Linked DNA regions of Kluyveromyces lactis. The protein of the gene in region 1 purifies or fractionates together with the protein of each later gene. This does not show direct contact. Links are inferred from orthologs where the notes say so. Each region holds a gene or a part of one and is shown on either strand. Other genes may lie near its edges.

The links.
Region 2: the proteins of PPH3 (region 1) and SPT5 purify together in Saccharomyces cerevisiae (affinity purification with mass spectrometry, with the first as the bait; 3 studies listed by BioGRID). This does not show direct contact. The link is inferred for Kluyveromyces lactis from reciprocal best matches to the Saccharomyces cerevisiae genes PPH3 and SPT5.

The regions. Positions count from the first base shown.
Region 1 is NC_006041.1:888,567-892,549, reverse strand, and holds PPH3 (phosphoprotein phosphatase PP4 catalytic subunit PPH3), read left to right. Parts: upstream 1-1,466; coding exon 1,467-2,393; downstream 2,394-3,983. Other genes in the region: PEA2 (Pea2p), read right to left, coding at 1-665; AIM25 (Aim25p), read left to right, coding at 2,924-3,829. UniProt on the Saccharomyces cerevisiae protein: Forms the histone H2A phosphatase complex in association with the regulatory subunits PSY2 and PSY4, which dephosphorylates H2AS128ph (gamma-H2A) that has been displaced from sites of DNA lesions in the double-stranded DNA break repair process.
Region 2 is NC_006038.1:68,308-85,102, reverse strand, and holds the start of SPT5 (transcription elongation factor SPT5), read left to right. Parts: upstream 1-13,750; coding exon 13,751-16,795. Other genes in the region: TATA-binding protein-associated factor TAF11, read right to left, coding at 1-227; GPI-anchor transamidase GPI17, read right to left, coding at 581-2,131; TRM9 (tRNA (carboxymethyluridine(34)-5-O)-methyltransferase), read left to right, coding at 2,594-3,439; UBX2 (Ubx2p), read left to right, coding at 3,809-5,671; mRNA-binding protein NPL3, read right to left, coding at 6,636-7,664; CYM1 (pitrilysin family metalloprotease), read left to right, coding at 8,494-11,442; ERV25 (Erv25p), read left to right, coding at 11,937-12,575; RAD33 (Rad33p), read right to left, coding at 12,903-13,433. UniProt on the Saccharomyces cerevisiae protein: The SPT4-SPT5 complex mediates both activation and inhibition of transcription elongation, and plays a role in pre-mRNA processing.

The DNA.
Region 1 (3,983 bases):
CTATCATTTTCATATTTCGATTTCAAGAACTTGTATGCAAGTTGTAAATCCGTGATAGCCGTTTGTAGGTCCTGTTGTTTTGAGATATCGTTAAGTTCCAATTCTGAGGTAGAAAGGGGCGCGTGTTGCAAAGAACTGCTTGAATTCTGTGGGTATGCATCCAACAGGATGTCGATGTTTTTCTTACAAAATGAGATTGGATCATGTACACCCTCCTCGTTGGAAGAATTGTCTATTGATGCCAAATTGATACCTTTAGAAATGGAGCTAGAGATCAGGTAGGAGGTGATCTGTTCCACTTTCCCCTCATCCTCATCAGTGCTTTTATTGGCTAAAGATTTATCATTCTCTAGTACCAATTGGACTAATTCTTTCAACGTGTCAACGTCTACCGAGCCAAGCTTTTGTAAGAAAGTAGTTCCCTTAGTACTTAGAGAACCGTTAGCAGATTCATTAATCAAGTACAATGCAAATTCCAATTTCAATTGGGAATCCAAATCCATTGGAAGCTCATCCCACTCCGAATTTTGTCTATTGGATATCAGGGAATTCGTACTCGTAGTTTGCAAATATTCATTCAACTGTTCATTGGGGTACTTCCCATGCAATTTCTCTACAAAAGAGGTATTGTACTCGTACCATTGGTCCAGGTTATTACGAAGCATTCTATCAAGGGGCTAGCTGCGATCAGTATCTAGCTTGGTTTGGTAGCAACTTACATTTTAACATTCCGTTCATCTATCCAGACGCGTTGATTCCGATCAATGCCTTTCTCAATTACCACGCACGGGACATACATGCAGTTTCCGGGTAATACAAGCACATTATCAACCACGTGATATTTGACATCACCACGCACGAATACCGCCATTCCGATGTCTGGGTGTCATCTTCCGAAGGCTTACATAAGCACACCTCATTACCCGCATGTCACGTTAAATTATCGTTTTTGTGGCCGAAACACAAAAAAGGAAGCAAACTGATAAAAAGAAACGTGAAAAAAGAGTACAGGCAAAAAAAAAGAAACAATGGAAGGAGAAGAAGAAGAAGAAGCAAGATTCTGAACAATTCCCATATACAACACAGGCAAGCATTCCACACTACGCTATATACTGTAGACATACCGGAAAGCGCAGACCGACAAGTTGACTTTTCAGGCTAACCGAAAAATGTAATTGTTGTTACCTCTTTTGATACTTGATACTTTTATTTCTCTTGATACTTGCATTTTGTCTATCTCATCGAATTTTGGAAAATAAGAAAGTAAAGAAGCTTTTAAGCCTATATTGTTAATGATGACTATTCAGTTTACCTTTGTTAGATTAGTTTAAGGTAGGTTTTTGTTGGATTTGATCCAAACTCATCACTATAGAATAATATCGTCAGTTCTTGAACAGGGAATCACTTTTTTTTATCTTTTATACTTCCAGTTGGTTTTAACTTTAACGTCGTCTGAGCATCTGTCAATGATGAAACTCGATGAGATTATAGAGACTCTAAGGCAGGGGAAACATGTTGACGAGGATTCGATATACTCGCTGTGTGTCATGGCTCAAGAACTTCTTATGAATGAGTCTAACGTGACACATGTGGATACGCCAGTCACAATTTGTGGAGATATTCATGGCCAATTGCATGATTTGTTGACTCTCTTTGCTAAGAGTGGAGGCATTGAAAAGAATAGATACATCTTTTTGGGAGATTTCGTGGATAGAGGGTTCTATTCGTTAGAGAGTTTCCTTCTTTTGGTATGTTATAAATTAAGGTATCCAGATAGAATTGTGTTGATACGAGGAAATCATGAAACAAGACAGATTACGAAGGTTTATGGGTTTTACGACGAAGTGGTAAGGAAATATGGTAACAGTAACGTATGGAGATACTGTTGCGAAGTATTCGACTATTTGCCCTTGGGTGCCATTGTAAACAACAAGGTTTTCTGTGTTCATGGTGGATTATCGCCGGACGTTTTATCAATCAACGAAATACGAACCATCGATAGGAAAAAGGAGGTACCGCATGAAGGTGCTATGTGTGATTTATTGTGGTCGGATCCAGAGGATGTGGATACTTGGTCTCTTTCCCCGCGTGGTGCAGGTTTCCTATTTGGCCAAAACGAAGTAGATAAATTTTTACACACAAATAGTGTCGAATTAATCGCTAGAGCTCATCAATTGGTCATGGAAGGTTATAAAGAGATGTTCGATGGGGGATTAGTCACGGTATGGTCAGCACCAAACTACTGTTATCGTTGTGGGAATGTGGCTGCTGTGCTGCGCATCGATGACGATATGACGAAGGATTACACCATTTTTGAAGCTGTTCAGGCGAGGGATAGTGGAGGTAATGTCATTCTCCCTACGAAAAAACCTCAAATGGACTACTTCTTGTAACTTATTACCATTATTATTTGCATTTTTCTCTCTCTCTTCTCGATTTGCTGACCGATTCCCGTGTTATTGGTTCAGTCTTCTTTTCTTTCAGCATTATTTAACAGCATGGTATATCACCCTGATCCTCATTATCAACCGACCATCCTCCCAGCATAGCTCAACCTACAGTTGTTGCTTTGTATTAATATTACCTCTCTTCTTAATCTCATTCAACACAGTGATATACCACATTTCAATAAAAGTATCCCAATAGGTATGTAACAGTAAACTATTTCAATAATTGTACGATTGAATTATATGATTCATTTGATAGCATACATATTATACTGTAATATGGAATTTCTGGTTGTATTCCATTCGAGCAGAACATTTATGACGATACTTTTACCTTCCCTTCAATTTTGGATTTAACGGTAATATTTTGATATTTGATCTTCAATTAAGTATCTCAACCTTAAACGGAGTCTTACAAAAAGTCAAATAGACGTTTAGATGCAAGGGAACAGCTGACCGGGCAATATTCATACACCATGTGGAGATATAATCTAGCACTTACCAGACGAATTTTCAGTTCGCAGCCTGCTGCTCTAGTACGTCAGTATTCTGCTTTCAGAAGGCTTCCTAGAGTGGCAACTCCGGTAAAGGATGTTTCTCGTTTGGGCTTCAATGGCGTGCCAAATATGAACAATGTGACCATCCAGCAGTATGATCCCATTGCAACTACCATTTTAAATGAACCTACCATCATTATTGAGAGACAAATCGAAATGATGAACGTTGTGCTTGGTTTTGAACAGGCTAATAAGTATGCCATCATGGATGTCATGGGGAACAGAATTGGGTACATGCAAGAAAGAGATTTCGGATTCTTTAAAGCTATAACAAGACAAATATACAGACTACATCGTCCGTTCACCGTTGATGTCTTTGACAATTACGGCAACGTTTTAATGACTATTGAAAGACCCTTTTCCTTTATCAATTCACATATTAAGGCTATATTACCCGATGAAAACAGAACCCTTGTTGGTGAATCAGTGCAAAATTGGCATCTGTGGCGTCGTAGATATGAATTGTTTCAAAGAGAATGCGAAAACCCTTCTGAGTTTACTCAGTTTGGTAATATCGATGCACCATTTCTAAGTTTCGAATTCCCAGTTATGGACGAGAACAACAAGATTATTGCTGGTTGTGATAGAAATTGGGTGGGGATAGGAAGAGAACTATTCACTGATACTGGTGTCTATATTGTACGATTCGATTCTCAGCAATCATTTGATGGTGTATACCCGCAAGAGATGTTAAGTGATAAGGTCTTGAACTACGATCAAAGAGCTGTCATGCTTTCTAATGCAGTGTCGATTGATTTCGATTATTTCTCAAGACATTCACGCTACGGAGGTGGACTGTTGTCGTTTGGAACATATGACGAATGAAGGAACTGGATATATCCTCGATTGCTACATGCCAATGAGCATCTGCCGGATGGAATTATTTTTTTGTATATCTTCATTTATTCCTTGTATATATACAAAGTATTAACCTGAAATATTTTGAATAAGTTACCAACAGTGTTGGCTTTCAGCAAGA
Region 2 (16,795 bases), on another chromosome or scaffold:
TGCCATTCCATACTTTGGAAATGCTCAACTTCATTTTTGAATTCATCCAAGTAATCTTTCATGTTACCTGCAAGTCTTCTGTTACGTAGTTTCCACATAACATATTCTTGGTCCTCGTTCAGTACTTGATCAATCATTTGCTTTGTTGAAATGTAACTGGCATATGTTACACTTGGTTGATATGTGTCCAAAGGTAGCTTGTACAAAGGCCCATCAGCTTCAGACATGTTTCGCAAACAAATCACTGATGCCAGTAATTACCAATTGATGAAGCTTTGGCTGTGTTCTTTGTTCTTACTGGGCTGTTCTGCCGCGTTTTTCTTATTTTGTTTCCTATTCCTTATATCGAATTTATAAACCTGATTTTTTATGTAAGAGAGTTATGTATGAAATAAAATAAAGTGCTAACAGAACGTTGTAAACTCTACAATAGACATCGATTTAGTTTAGAGTATAAATGTGCTAAGGAATAATTTCGAAAACAGTACAATCATGAAGAATGAATCATAGCGAATTGAAAGAATGAATGCTATTGAATTGAAGAAATATATTAATGAGATCATAGAAGGTGGATCTCATTTTACTCTGCCTTTTGTCCCTTATCGTCAGCCTTGCCATCTTTTCCATCTTCTTTCTTAGACTTTGTAATGACTTCCTTTAAGGACTTGAAAAATGCTGTAAAAGTAACAACAGTTATTGGCCCAAGTAATGGCAAATAGACAGCAATCTTGTGTTCTTGTGGGAAGAATGTCTGTTGAACCATTTCTTTGTGGAAAAATGCACGCTCACATATTTTTACAAGTCTATTAGAGAGCCTTAATGCTTCGTTCCAGATTTCATCACTGCCAAGTTCGGGGTTGTTCAAAAGGTCCACGATCTGCAATCTGAGATTTAATGCATTGTTGACGTCTTCGAGAACTTCCCTTGGAATAGACATTTGTTGTAAATGATTCGTCATACTAACTAAAGAGGATAAAGTAGTGACACTTTTCTCCAAGTTATCAATAATGACTTTCCTCTTAAATGAGTCTATCCTAACTAATGGTGAGTTCATATCTTCAGCTACCTCACTCAATCCCAATAATTTGAAGATGTCGTGGGCAAAAGTTGAAATGACATCAGCAAGGTAGTCGTTTGTTATGTAAGCATTTGTTGGTAATGGATCTTTGTTTATCACAACAACACCCCACTGTGGTACTAAGAATGATTTCCAGTCAATACCATTTCCTGTCTCGTTGATAAAAGCTAAGGACCCAGTTTCAACTGAAGGAAAGACAATGGCTAGATTTATGGAATTTTGTTCCCGATAATGGTTCACGGAGAAGAGGTCAGACAAATCCAAAGTGTGAGAAAGATCATTCCAGGAAACGTATTCAGCGTTAGATAAAGAATGTAAATTCAAGTCGTTATGATACTCAATCCCTGTGTCAACGGTAAAGTTCACCAATGGAGAAAGGAGATCTCTAATTGGAGTGAAATATTCCCTTAAAGTAGCGTCAATATCCCAGGCAATAGGTTCCGCATCACCAGTTAAAAGGGAGATCGAGATATGGATGTTTGGGTCATAATTTACAGCCATGTTCCTGGATTTTGAGTCACTTTTAACAGAGTTCTGATGATATTTACTGAAATGCTCCCATTCTATCTTAAACGTGTGCTCTATTAGGGCCTGAGCGACGAAAAATGGAAGATCGTTGTTCACCAGGGATTCATCATTGAAAAATATAATAGTTTCTTTGGTCAATTGAGGTATCGTTAGTCCCATGGACTCATCCAAAACCAACTTGACCACATGATCGTTATTTGGATCTGTTTCGCCCTCTTTGAACGGTAGTATTTGCAACGACCACTGTACCTTTCTTTGGTGTTCATCAGCACTCTGTAATAGCTCATCCGCCTGTCTTTGAATGGCATCACATACATCAGGAAAGTTATATATATCCGATTGCACGTATACAGGGATAGTCAAATGGATATCTTCGTGGAGGTTTGCATGCAAACTCTCAATGTATTCTGCAGGTAGTGGTGCCCTGTATATGGTAGTCAATCTGTACCATAAAGGAACTCCAAGTAACACGTAGCAAAGCGCAAAGGATAGTGTTACAAGACGACGTAGAGTGACTGTACTCATCGTAAGGAAAGTTCAAAAAACACTGTATTCTTTTAGACTTGCTGTTGGGATCACGAATACCTTTGGAATAATTAGCGAAGTATTTTAGCCGAAACCTTCGAATGCTCTAATGAAATCAAGTTATCGACGAAACCTATTGCCGCAATTCCACTAGTCACTTTCCGATATACGCCTTTGAAGGAAAACTAATGGACGTTAGATATTAAGAAGCATAGCTTCTCTTGAATCGTTTCGAAATGTCGACTTATTTGTCGAACATTAATTTCAAATTGCATGGCTTAGTGTCTGTTTTCTGATTCGAACAACAGATATAACGAAAAAGTGAAAAAAATGGATAATGGCAGTATCAATGAGGTACAATACGTGCAAAAAGAATGAAGTTAAGATCACAGTTTCAGAGTATTTCTATATGCTCCTTAGATACAGCTAGACGCAGTGTAGTCTGTGGGGTTTTCAAATATAATGGCTGAATTGAAGGAAGAAGAATACGTGCACCAAGTGTACAACGATATTGCTCCGCATTTCTCACAAACCAGATATAAGCCATGGCCAATTGTATCGGAGTTTTTGATGTCTAGAGAGATGGGTTCTATCGGTATTGATGTTGGCTGTGGAAATGGGAAGTACCTTGCTGTGAACCCGAATGTTTTTATTTTAGGTTCAGATAGATCCTCGGGGTTAATTACGTGTGCACATGATATCAATTCACAGTACAATGTTCTAATTGCAGACGGGATCAAGCTACCTCATCGCGATAATACTTTCGATTTCGCTATATCCATTGCGGTGGTGCACCACTGGTCGACCAGAGAAAGAAGAGTTGGAGCCATAAGACATATCATCAGCAAAGTAAGACCCGGAGGAGAAGTTTTGATTTACTGCTGGGCATTGGAACAAGGTGATTCTAGAAGAGGGTATCGAGAGGGTATGGAACAAGACGTTTTAGTACCGTGGGTTTTACAAGATCAGAAGAGGGATACGGAAATTGATGAGAAATCTGGTAAAAAGGGCAAAATACAAGTCCCCAAGCCAGATTTATCCACCGTTCCTAAACATGAAAGATCTGAATTCTTGAACAAATGGAAACTAGAACAGGAAGCTCTCAGGCTAAAAAGAGAGCAGGAAATAGAGGAAGAGCGCAAGAAGCTCGAAAAGGAGACAAAATCCAACACGAAGTATCGTTACTACCATCTATATCGCGAGGGGGAACTAGAAGAGGATTGCCAAATGGCCGGAGGAATAATAGTTGGACAAGGTTACGAAAAGGATAATTGGTACGTAGTTGCTAGAAAGCCTGGCAACCCTTAACGATTGCTAATATAATATATAAACAGCATAAATATTACATCGAAATATACTTTTATAGACAACAGCTAGTACTCATTGCAATTTCTTTGTTTGGTTTATTAGTGTTTCTTACGATATTCTGACGGTGCACTAAATTTCTGTTTCGTTCTCATGAACATTTAACGAAAAAACGGGAAACTTTAACAGGCAGGCCAACTTAACCAGAAAAGTGCAGGAGGATATAGATTCGAGTTTACTGATAAGCTACATTAACTATACTGCATATATTAGCTGTGAATGTATAAAATTGACAACCCAGTATTTTTGGCATTGAGATCCGAATTAAAGTATATCTGCTTGAGCGTACTGTGATTTGTAACGAACCTTAAAATGCCAGTAATTGAACATAATGATCAACGATTTGAACTCTCCCACTCAGAAGAGCAAAAGCTCAACGAGTTTCAAATGATAACGTCTTTCCCCACTGATGAATTGCCTAATGTTATAAAGCTTCTACGCAATCATTCTTGGCAATTGGAACACGCTTTGGGTAGATATTTCGACGACAATTGGAAAGAAAATCTAGACTTTGCACCACAGCCTACACCCGCTCAAAACACAATTCCTGTCCAACAATCACAATCTGATGAGCGCCAGATCCTGGAAGATACGCGTTCAGAATTACCAATATCACTGAGAATCCCAAACATTTTGGAGAACCCGTTTGGAATGGTACCTAAACTACCCTTTATTCACAGATTACCATACAATTATAAAGAAAAATTCCAAATCATCGGATTAAACGGACAGCCAAATGCTACTGATGTATACTCGCGCAATTCTGTATTACTTGCCGTCTTATTTTTGCCGAATTTAATAGTTAGGCTTAGCGTGCATATGTTTTCATGGCTTGGCATTCTAATCTCGTATGCACTAGGTCAGAATATGGCAAAATCAAAGGCTTCATATAATTGGGTAATCCCGCAGAAACCTCAGGTGGACAGAAAACCTGAAGATACATTTGCGGATATAAGGGAAACATGTGGTGAAAATGCTGAAGAACTTTTGTCTTTATGCTCTATGAAGAGCTACAATGAAATATTTGATGAATGCGAATCGAAATACAAGTTTATGCTTTTGTTATTCTTGGGACCAATAACTGGAGAAGAAGAAAAAATTTGTCATAGCTCGAAAACATTCTTAACGCACTTTTTATCCCATCCATCAACTATTGCACTTTTCAAAACTCATAGCGACAACTTGGAAATATACATCAGGACAGTCCAAGATCCTGAATGTTGGGCACTGGCAAAACAACTAAAATTAAAATACACGTTAGAATGTCTACTTGTGGCTAACGTGCACAATCGTTTGAATTCTACTTCCGGTTCAAGGAAAATGTCTGTTCTTTCTGCTTTGAAGGTTAAATCGCTTGCCCGATTCCAAGATTCTTTCAAAAGCGCAATTCGTCGCTACTCTCCTGAACTGATAGCGAGCCAAACGGAAATGCAAGAGCTAGAAATGGTGAGAAAAATGAAGGAAATGCAGGATGAAGCATACCACGAATCATTAAAACTAGATACCGAAAAGCAGTTAGAACGTGAAAGGCAAGAAGAAAGTTTAAAACAGAAACTAATTTCTGAAGCGCAACAGAAAGAAATCTTGAAAATAAAGGACCTATTCTATCAATTTACTATGCTGTTACACTCTTTAAAATCTGGCAGCAATGCTGAGGTCAAGCCAACAGAAAAAATTTCCAACATTCAATTCAGAACCTCTGATGGTAAACGAATTGTTAAAAAGTTCTCAGGGAGTAACACTTTACGCGATGTTTACATCGACATAGCAGCTCATTTATATTTAACATCATCTGACCAATATATTGAAGGAAATAATTTGGATACAATCAGCGAAATATTGATAAATATCAGCGAAAACCCTGAATACGCTACCGCTATTGAAAGCACCAACATTGCTGGAGAACTATTGGAATCCAAGACGGAAAATCAACTAAAAGCAATATTAGAAAAGGGTATTTCCGAACTCAGATCTAAGACCGAACTAGAGGATATTAGCTTTGACTTTGAGTTGGTTTCGCCTTTCCCTAGAAAACAAACTCCAAATGATCCATCCATTCAATTGAAAACAAGGTCAGAACTATGGCCAAACGGGAGTCTCTTGATAGAATCATTGGACAATGATGACAGCTCCGAAGGAGAGGATGAGAGTGATGACGCTGGTCATTCAACATAACGATATAAAATTAAATAGTCAAGTGACTAGGAGTCGATGTTAGAGCATAACAACAGTTTTATCAATAAGATTTGTTTAAGGTGGGTACAAGTTTGATCCGACAAACCGCCCAGTTTGTAAAGAATCAAATTCGTACACATCAGGATAACGTCAAGGCCTTCGTAGGCCTCCTACAAGTTCAAGACAATTCTACATTACCATTTTCTTGAAGAGACACAAAATAATGGTGGTTGATGCACTGTAATGTCGGCAATGCAAGATTAAGAATCACAAATTGGAAAATGGACTAAGACAAAATCCACTGATCGGATGCAAGAAACAATAAGTTGTTGATTCGTTTAAAAGCGCAGTCTTTGACGCTGACATATATGTGCCATTTGTAACAATTCTGAGCTGGAGTTAAGGTTGATTTTCAAGCACAGTTACAAAACACAACCAATTTCCCTCGCGAAATTGATTTCCATGATCATCACTACTTCTTCCTTACTCTGGAAGACCTCTTTTCTAGTCGCAAAGATAAATAATAAAACAATACAATAATAATCCACTATAAAAACATAATCATTTTTTCCTTCTCCTCACGATCCTTGATGTTCTGTTCGGATCCACAAGTAAAAAGATTTTTTCCTGATGATGGGAGGTTTTTCCTATACTAATATTTAATTTTTTTTTTTATTCTCAATCCATCAAGGTTGATACCTTCAATTCATTCCCAACAATTGTGAGTAAATTCAAATTCCAAGTAAAGTTCAGAGGTTTCTTGGTGTAACGACAAAGTATGAAAACAACGGGCGAAAACAAGAGCTTATAACTCCCTAAGATAGTAAGCATAATAATTCTGTTAAAAGTGACAAAAGAAAGCTAATACCAACTCCGATGATAATGGTAGGGACACACGGTTTGATGCTTGAAGTAATTTCACAACATTCTTAGATGAAAGCTATTTGTGCACTCCAGAAATCCTCTAATCTCTAACTGGAGATCTTTCACGCGCTTGGTAGCCTTCTCCGCTGCCTCTTTGGTAGTCTTCTCTTGGTGCGTAGTCTCTGTTACCGTAACCGCCACGGCCACCGTAACCACCGCCACGACCACCAAAGTCACCGTAACCGCCTCTTGGACCACCGTAGCCACCACGGCCACCACGGAAACCGCCTCTTGGACCACCGAAGCCACCGCGACCGCCAAAGCCACCTCTTGGACCGCCAAAGCCACCGCGACCGCCGAAACCGCCACGGCCACCAAAGCCACCTCTTGGACCACCGAAGCCTCCACGGCCGCCGAAACCACCGCGACCGCCGAAACCACCACGGCCACCAAAGCCACCGCGACCGAAACCGCCACGGCCTCTAAAACCACCACGACCACGAGAGGATCTGATTGGTGGTGGGTTTTCATCTTTTTCAACAGCCAAAACTGAACCACGGAATTCGATGTTGTTCAACTTTTCAATGGCTTCCTGCAGGATCTCTTCGGTTGGGAATTCAAGAGCACCAGTACCGTCAAAGTCTCTGGTGTTGACACTGGAGAAAGTAGTTTCTAACTGGTTATCTCTGGCCAAATCCTTCAATTCTTGCCAAGCACAGCCTTCTGGCAAGTTTCTGATAATGACTCTGAATCTTGGCTTTAACTTCTTGGAAAATACAACTTCCAATGGGTAGTCGGCAAACATTTTACCGGCAACGTTTTGAATAGCTTGGGAAGCAGACTCAGCTTCTTCAAACTCAACAAAAGCGAACCCATTTAAAATCTTTATTTCCTTCAAAGCACCGAAAGGTTCGAAAATTTCCTTCATTTCAGCATCAGTGACATCTGGAGGGAAAGGCTTCACAAATAGTCTGGTATCAGAAAGCTCTTCATCGTCATCAACTCTATTATTGAAATTTTCATAACTTTGAGGTGGTGGAGCAGTTTCATATGGCTTTTCATATGGCTTTTCATATGGCTTTTCATAGGTTTCTTCTTCGACAGCTGGAGGAGGAGGAACGTCAGACATCTTGATATTTCGCGAGTAAGTGTTCTTGGTTGTACCTTGAGCAAAAGAAGTGAAACACTAATATCTTAGTCAAAAACAATACTGCAACGCCACTCAACGATGATGGAGTAGAATTTTTTTTCCAAAAACCAGGTTTTAAATATGTCTTTATATATAGGAGAAAGTGAAAATTTTAAATGAACATCGGGAAAAGAAAAGACAGAAGAGAATAGTGTCAAACAAGGTTTGGTAGGTAGGGTAAAACTCTGGAATCCTCGGTACAAGTCTTTTTAGAATGAGTGCTGATAAGTATCGCATGCACAGATATAAGCCCTCATACAAGTCATACTCCTACCAAATACGATCTGAGAGGCTATATTGATCAAATGCTCTCATTGCTACTTGTATTTACCATTGTTATACAGAAAGGTAAGAGTGACACATGTATCACGTGACTTGAACTTCAGTTTTTCATTTTTTTAACTCGTCAGAAGTGAGACCGTAGTTCATAGCTGTTTTTCTTCGATAGTATGGAATCCTGGAGGAAAGATACTAGAGCATGCCAAAGGTCTCTTAACATATTGATAAGTCAATTTAGCGAATTTATCTCAGAGGCAAGAAACGAAAAGCCAAGCGAACTAGCAGTTTAGAGGGGATATTTCCGATATTTTGACCGTTCGTTTTCTCTTTGCATTTCTTTTATCTATTTATTCGCAATAAATCGTTATAGAATCGTTGACGACAGTAATCATTGATTAATATACCAAGATCGAAAAAACTGGGTTTGAAATATAAGCGAAGGAATATTGAATCTAAATCCAGGTGGAGAATTCTTGCATTATAAAATACCATGTTTCAAATTCGTAACTATGCCACAAAATATGCACAGTCTCGGGCGCTGAGGAAGTACCCAGTAGGTGGCGTTTTTCACGGATATGAAGTGAAACGATTACTTCCTGTCCCTGAACTAAAGCTAACAGCCGTGGATTTATTGCATAACCAAACCGGTTCACAACATTTACATATTGATAGAGATGATAACAACAACGTGTTCAGTATCGGATTCAAAACCAATCCCCCGGATTCAACTGGTGTGCCACATATTTTGGAACACACAACTCTTTGCGGTTCTCATAAGTATCCTGTTCGCGATCCGTTCTTCAAGATGTTAAACAGATCGTTGGCAAACTTCATGAACGCTATGACTGGTCATGACTATACTTTTTACCCGTTTGCTACCACTAATGAGACGGATTTTGCTAATCTAAGAGACGTTTACCTTGATGCAACTCTAAATCCATTGTTGAATCAGCAAGATTTCCTACAAGAAGGTTGGAGGCTTGAACACACTAAGGTTGATGATCCAAACAGCGATATAGGTTTCAAAGGTGTTGTATACAATGAAATGAAGGGTCAAGTATCCAATGCTAACTATTATTTCTGGATTAAGTTTCAAGAAAGCTATTATCCATCCTTGAATAACTCTGGTGGTGACCCAACTAAAATGACTGATCTTCAATATGAAGATTTAATCAGTTTCCACAGAAATAATTACCATCCTTCTAATGCTAAGACGTTTACATACGGGAACTTCGATTTGAACAATACCTTACAGAGGTTGAATAAAGAATATCAAGGTTATGGTAGAAGGGGTTCTAAGAAGAGGGAACTATTACCAATCCAAATGAAAGAAGATGTTTCTGTAGAAACCGAAGGACAGGTTGATCCTATGTTACCACCGGATAAACAGATCAAGACCTCTGTGACTTGGATTTGTGGTAAACCTGAAGACACGTACCAAACATTTCTATTGAAGATCTTGGGTAATTTATTATTAGACGGACATTCCTCTCCTTTCTATCAAAAACTAATTGAAAGTGGGCTGGCGTACGACTTTTCAGTTAACACTGGTGTAGAGTCGCAGACTGCTGCAAACTTTATCACTATTGGTGTTCAAGGATGTGATGAAGTGGATTCGATATATGAAGTTATTAACAAAGTATGGGAAGAAGTATTACAGAATCCGTTTGAGGAGTCTAGGATCCAAGCAATCATTCAACAATTAGAGTTATCTAAGAAAGACCAAAGGGCAGATTTCGGTTTACAATTACTGTACTCGGTTTTACCAGGATGGGTTAACAAGACTGATCCATTTGATTCTTTATTGTTCGATGAGACACTAGAAAGATTCCAAGAAGATTGGGCCACTAAGGGTGATAATTTATTCAAAGACTTAATCAAAGAATTCGTGATTTCAAAACCTGTATTCAAATTCACCATGAAGGGCTCAGAAACGTTCTCTCAGAAACTTGATGCTGAGGAACAAGAACGTTTGGAGAGAAAGTTAAAGCTCCTTGACGAAGAAGACAAAAAGGTCATTTTCGAACGTGGTAAACAATTGCAAGAACTACAGGACCTCAAAGAGGATTTGAGTTGCCTTCCTTCATTGCAAATTAGTGCAATTCCAAGAGTTTCAAAGACATACCCATTGTTAGAGAAGGATAATGTTTTAAATCGTATTACCGATACCAATGGTATTACATACGTCAGAGGTAAGCGTTTACTAAACCACCATATTCCAAGAGAACTTTATCCTTTCCTACCATTATACGCAGACTCATTGACGAACCTTGGTACTTCAACTGAAGAGTTTTCCACCATTGAAGAACAAATCAAATTGCACACTGGCGGTGTCTCAACTCGCGTATCTGTAAATCCAGATGCACAGACTGGTAAGCCTATGCTGCTATTCCAAGTTGATGGATGGGCTTTGAACAGCAAAACCGATCACATCTTCAAGTTTTGGAAGAAACTTTTATGTGAAACTGATTTCCATAAGCACAAAGAAAAGCTAAAGGTCTTAATAAGATCATTAGCATCTTCAAACACAGCGTCTGTGGCTGAGACTGGTCATGCTTTTGCCCGGAACTTCGGTGCTGCTCATTTAAGTGTAACTAAAGCCATCAACGAAAGTTTAAACGGTATCGAACAGTTACAGTTAATCAATAAGTTATCTCAATGTTTGGATGATGAAGCACTATTTGAGAAAGAAGTGGTTTCAAAATTGGTTGAGCTTCAATCATATATAAATGGCAGTTCAGACATGAAATTCATGATCACCAGTGATTCTCAAGTTCAAATCGATGCAGTTCACCAACAAATCACGGGCTTTTTGAGCTCCTTACCCAAGGATTCAAAACCATGTGACTTCTACTCTGAGAATTACTCAATGTTGGAAAACCCAGGTAAACCAACCCTACTCCAGTTCCCATTTCAGGTTCATTACACCGCCAAGTGTTACCCAGGCGTTTCCTATACCCATCCTGATGGCGCTAAGCTACAAATCCTTTCTAACATGTTGACACACAAATATTTGCACCGTGAAATTCGTGAAAAAGGTGGCGCATATGGTGGTGGTGCTACTTACAGCGCTTTGGATGGTACTTTCAGTTTCTATTCTTACAGGGATCCTCACGCTTTAAATTCTTTGTCCACATTCGATAGCGTTCCAGAATTCATATTGAACAAGTCTTCGTGGGGTGAACCAGACTTGAATGAAGCGAAATTGAGTGTCTTCCAACAAGTAGACTCCCCAATGAGCGCCAAAAACGAAGGTACCATTTTATTCCATTACGACGTAACAGACGAAATGAAACAACGTCGTAGAGAGCAACTTTTAGACGTCAACTTGAATGATATACATCAAGTGGCAGAGGAATACCTCAAGCAAGATAAATCCATTGCCTCCATAGTTGGTCCGGAAATCCCAAATTTTGATGCCTTAGTTCAAACCGTGTAACGGGAAGCTCTTTCTTGTACATAATACAACCACATTATATATATATATATGTATTTATAACTCACAATACCCAATTACTAATTGTGCGTCGCAGTGCCTAGACGTACTTGCACACGGCAGAGTTATATCCCTTGTTCCTTGATAAAACTTAACATCTGCCAATATCGATCACGTGTAATCATCATAAAAAACGCGTCTTTTACGTATGGTTGGTTCTATATTTGTTTGGTTTCCAAAGATCAAAACTTCGAATTTTAACACCTTTATTGCATGGTTGATTTTCACGACAGTTCAGATCGCGAAGAATATAATAAAATATATAGGTTTCGGTTTGAAATTTAAAAAAAAAAAAAACGTATATCTAATTCTAACTGAATTCAAAAAGATACGTTGCTACGTTTGTTTCCTAATTGATTCTATCAGGAACCTCATCCGTGTTAACACTTGTCAAGGAGTGAAGCAAAGAGACAAACCATATATATACAGGCCAAAAGATGAAGAGCTTTGCTGCTTGCGTGCTTCTACTATGTGCTTTGTTCTTTGAACAAGTATTTGCTGTACGTTTCGACATTCCAGCCTCTACGAAACCGGAACAAGTCTGTATTCGTGATTTTGTCAGTGAGGGTCAATTAGTGCTCATTGATATTGAGACTGATGGTTCTGTTGGTGATGGTCAACAGTTGAATCTATACGTTCGTGACAGTAACGGTAACGAATACCGTAGGAATAGAGACATTGCTGGAGAAGTACGTGTTGTATTTACTGCTCCACAATCCACCTCATTTGATGTTTGTTTCGAGAATGTGGCGCAAGTTAACGGTAGATCTTTGAGCCGTTCCATTGAATTGGATATTGAATCCGGATCCGAGGCTCGTGATTGGAACAAGATTCAAGCCAGTGAAAAATTGAAACCGGTGGAAGTTGAACTACGTAGGATTGAAGAATTGACTGACGAAATTGTTGATGAATTCAACTACTTGAAGGGGAGAGAAGAAAGACTAAGAGACACCAACGAGTCCACCAACAGAAGAGTTAGAAACTTTTCTATCGCTGTCATCGTTGTTTTGGTCGCTTTGGGTGCATGGCAAGTAAACTACATGAAGAACTTCTTTAGAGCTAAGCACATTATTTAGAATGTTCGAATAGTTTCAATGCCTTGAATCTCAATACGATCTTCAAATATTGAATTGAAGAAACATACATCATATGGTGAGCCTTTTATACGTGTACAGTATCTATATATGGAAAATGGCATAATTTCTAAATCGGACGAGTAGAGGGGGAAAGGGATTATATTATGCCTAGACGGGTAGGTCTTTGTTTTTGCTAGAATTCTATGTTGATATGGCCACCAGTTACATTTATAAGTTTTGTACTAAGTTACTAGTGATATTCTTCCAAATGTTCCAAAGATTGACGTGTTTTTTAGGAAGTGAATTATTTAGTGGATTGCAATGATGCTAGTATCTTAATAAACCCATTTTACCAAGTAATTTGGCAAAGTCTAGGTAAGTGACAAATACCCTCTCGCCGTTCGTAGCCCAACTTACCATTGACAGGATAATATGTTGATCCATATCCACTTGAACAGCAGCCTTCTGGACATCTTTAACACTTATCACGTGCTTCCTTAGTGCAACCTTAGGGAACTGTTGCAATCTACCGGTATATTTTAATAGTAGTTCCCATTGTTTATCTATTATACTCTCGTTGTCCATGAAGATCAAGAGTCGATAAGTGACATCCAAGAGTTTTTCGAAATCTATGACGTCAATTCCATCCAAGCATAAGTCCTTGAATTCTAATAATCCGTACCATGATTTACTGATTTGTAATTCCGTATAAAAACTAGAAATATCAGCCCACTTGAATTCACCTTCTTCGGTGAAGCTTAAATATATCGATAGGACTTCATCTTCAATCTCGGTGGGCATTCTGGCCTCATTCCATCTGGTAATTGTGTCATAACTGACATCATTCTTTTTCCGCATAACTACATTATCTGGTCAGCAATGACTCATCGGTTAATATTGTCCTTAACGTAGCCAGAGCTGATGTTATATATTAAAGACTACATAAGGTACTAGCTGCCCGTTCGTTATGAAGTGATGCAGACTGATTCATCGGCTACTTAAGTACTTTTGAAATACTTAGGCGAGAGTTACCCTCTATTTGTGATCCTTGAAAAATTTCAATCTAAACTTCCCAATTTTCAATACAAAAATGGTAGTCCACGCTAAGTTGTAATGATGATCAGTATGCATTACAGTTCGCATTCACGATACAAAGCAACAGTCAGTAAGACGTCATGAGCGGTACTGCTGAGGAATCCGATAAAGCAGAGGCTGTTTCTGTACCTGAAACAGTTTCTGGGTCAGTTGAGAGTCAAGATAAGGAGCATAACTCTACTTCATCTTCGTCTGATTCTACAGATGTGGTTGGAGGCAAGAAAAGAACTATCGATGAAGTTGATGGGAGTTCTGAAAACAACTCTGCATCTGTCGATCAGTTAAAGGACGCTCCTACTGATTCTAAACCAAAGACAGAGGCTACTGAAGATAGTCCAATTAGGGGAAATCAAGGGAACAATCAAGAAAACAGTCAAGAAAACAAAGACGATGAAGATGATGAAGATGACAATGACGACGATGACAATGACGATGACGATGACGAAGATGAAGATGTCGAATCATATAGGAAGAAGCAACGTCGTGAAAGAAACAGATTCTTGGATATTGAAGCCGAAGTCAGTGAAGACGAAGACGACGAAGAAGATGAAGAAGATTCAGAACTAGTTCGTGAAGGTTTCATTACTCGCGGTGACGAAGAAGACGAAGAGGATCGTGGTGGTAGAGTTGATGACAGACTGCATAGAGAATTAGATCAAAATCTTCAAAAAACTGCGGATGAAGACATGCACAAGATCGCTGAAGACTTCAAGAAACGTTATGGTCGTGACTCTTCCAAAGATTACCGTGTACAAACTCAAGGTGGGTATGTACCTCAGAGGTTTATGTTACCAAGTGTTGATACTGCTATTATTTGGTCCGTTCGTTGTAGACCAGGGAAGGAGAAAGAACTAGTGAGAAAGTTGCTAAATAAGAAGTTTAACTTGGATAAATCTATGGGCTCTAAAAAATTAAAGATTCTGTCCATCTTCCAAAGAGACAATTACACAGGAAGAATCTATATCGAAGCTCCAAAACAATCTGTTATCGAAAAATTTGTCAACGGTGTTCCAGATGTCTATTCTAATCAAAAGCTTTTGATTCCCGTGCAAGAACTACCTTTACTATTAAAGCCTACCAAGTCAGATGAAGTGAGACTTGATGTTGGTTCTTATGTTAGAATTAAAAGGGGTATTTATAAGAATGATTTGGCAGTCATTGATCAAATTAGTCAGAACAACTTAGAAGCTCTATTAAAGATTGTACCCAGATTAGACTACGGTAAAAATGACGAAATCGACCCAGATACAAATCAGAGAAAGGCAAAGAGAGCAACGTTTGCTAGTAGGCCTCCTCCTCAATTATTTAACCCTACTATGGCATTAAGGTTAGACCAAGCCAACTTATTCAAAAGAGATGACAGGCACTTCACTTACAGGAAGGAAGATTATGTTGACGGTTATCTTTTCAAATCTTTTAAGATTCAGTATCTTGATACAAAGAATATCCAACCTACGGTGGAAGAATTATCAAGGTTCGGCAGTAAAGAAGGTGATGTCGATCTAGCAGCTATTGCTCAAACTATGAAAAAAGCTCAAGCTTCTAAAGCTATGTTTCAACCAGGTGACCGTGTTGAAGTGTTGACCGGGGAACAACGTGGATCTAGAGGTGTGGTGACTAGAAGTTCTAAAGACGTCATCAGCGTTAAACTATCGGGCTTTTCAGATAAATCATTAGAGTTCCCAATTGCATCTCTAAGAAAAATTTTCGAACTTGGTGACCATGTCACAGTAATAGCTGGTGAACATGAAGGTAACGCTGGTTTGGTTCTTTTGGTGCAGAACGGTCAAGTCACATTTGTTTCTGACCAAACTAGAGAAAATTTGACAATCTCTGCGAATAACTTGAGTAAATCTATGGATTCTACTCCGACATCAAGCGAGTACGCTCTACATGACATTGTTGAGTTAAGTGCCAAAAACGTGGCATGTGTGATCCAGGCTGGACATGATATTTTCAAGATTATTGACGACTCCGGTAAAGTGGCTACTGTTACTAAAGGCTCAATTCTTGCCAAGATCAATGTAGCAAGAGCGAAAGTAGCTGCTGTCGATGGTAATGGTAGAGAAATAAAAATTGGCGATGTAGTAAGAGAAAAGATCGGTTCCCGTAGAGAGGGACAAGTACTCTACGTTCAAAACCAACATATTTTCATTAGATCGAAAACAATAACGGAAAATGCCGGTGTTTTCGTTGTTAATCCAATGAATGTCGAGGCTGTCGCCTCAAAAGAAAACTTGATGTCGTCAGCATTGGATTTATCTAAAATAAATCCAAATATTGCGTCTAAGATGGGACCACCACAAACTACTCAGCAGACGCGGTTAGTTGGCCGTGACGTCGCTTTGAACAAAACTGTTAGGATACGTTCTGCGGGATACAAGGGGCAGTTGGGTATTGTCAAAGACGTCAATGGAGATAAGGCTACTATTGAATTGCACTCCAAAAATAAGCATATTACAATAGACAAAAGAAAACTTACTTACTTCAGTCATGAAGGTGGTGAAGGTATAACATACGATGAACTTGTTAGTAGACGTGGTAGAACTCCACATACCAGATTGGGCCCAAGCTATGTCAGTGCACCAAGACACATGGCTGCCGGTGGTGCGGTGGCAACGAACACTCCGCAACAACTTCCTGGTGGAATGACTCCTGGTTGGAATGCATTTGATGGCGGTAAAACTCCTGCGGTTGGCCAGAACGGAGGAACTTCATCCTGGGGTGGTGCTTCGACATGGGGCGGACAAGGCCCTGGTGGTGCTTCTGCCTGGGGTGGAGCTGCTGGAAACACTTCCACCTGGGGTGGGCAAGGTGCTACATCAACTTGGGGTGGTGCGTCCACTTGGGGTAATAAATCTAGTTATGGAGGCGCCTCTTCTTGGGCAGCAAGCGGAGAATCAGGAGCAGCTTCTGCCTGGGGCGGTGGCAATAAATCAAGCTATGGAGGTACTTCTACCTGGGGTGGTAACCAGGGAGGTGTCTCTGCCTGGGGTGGCAGTGGTAATAAATCACAACGATCTAAAAACACCGGTGGAAGTTCCACTTGGGGTAACAATCAATCGCAGCATAACTCAGGAGAGAGATCCGCATGGGGCAATGCATCCCAACACAACAATAGCGGC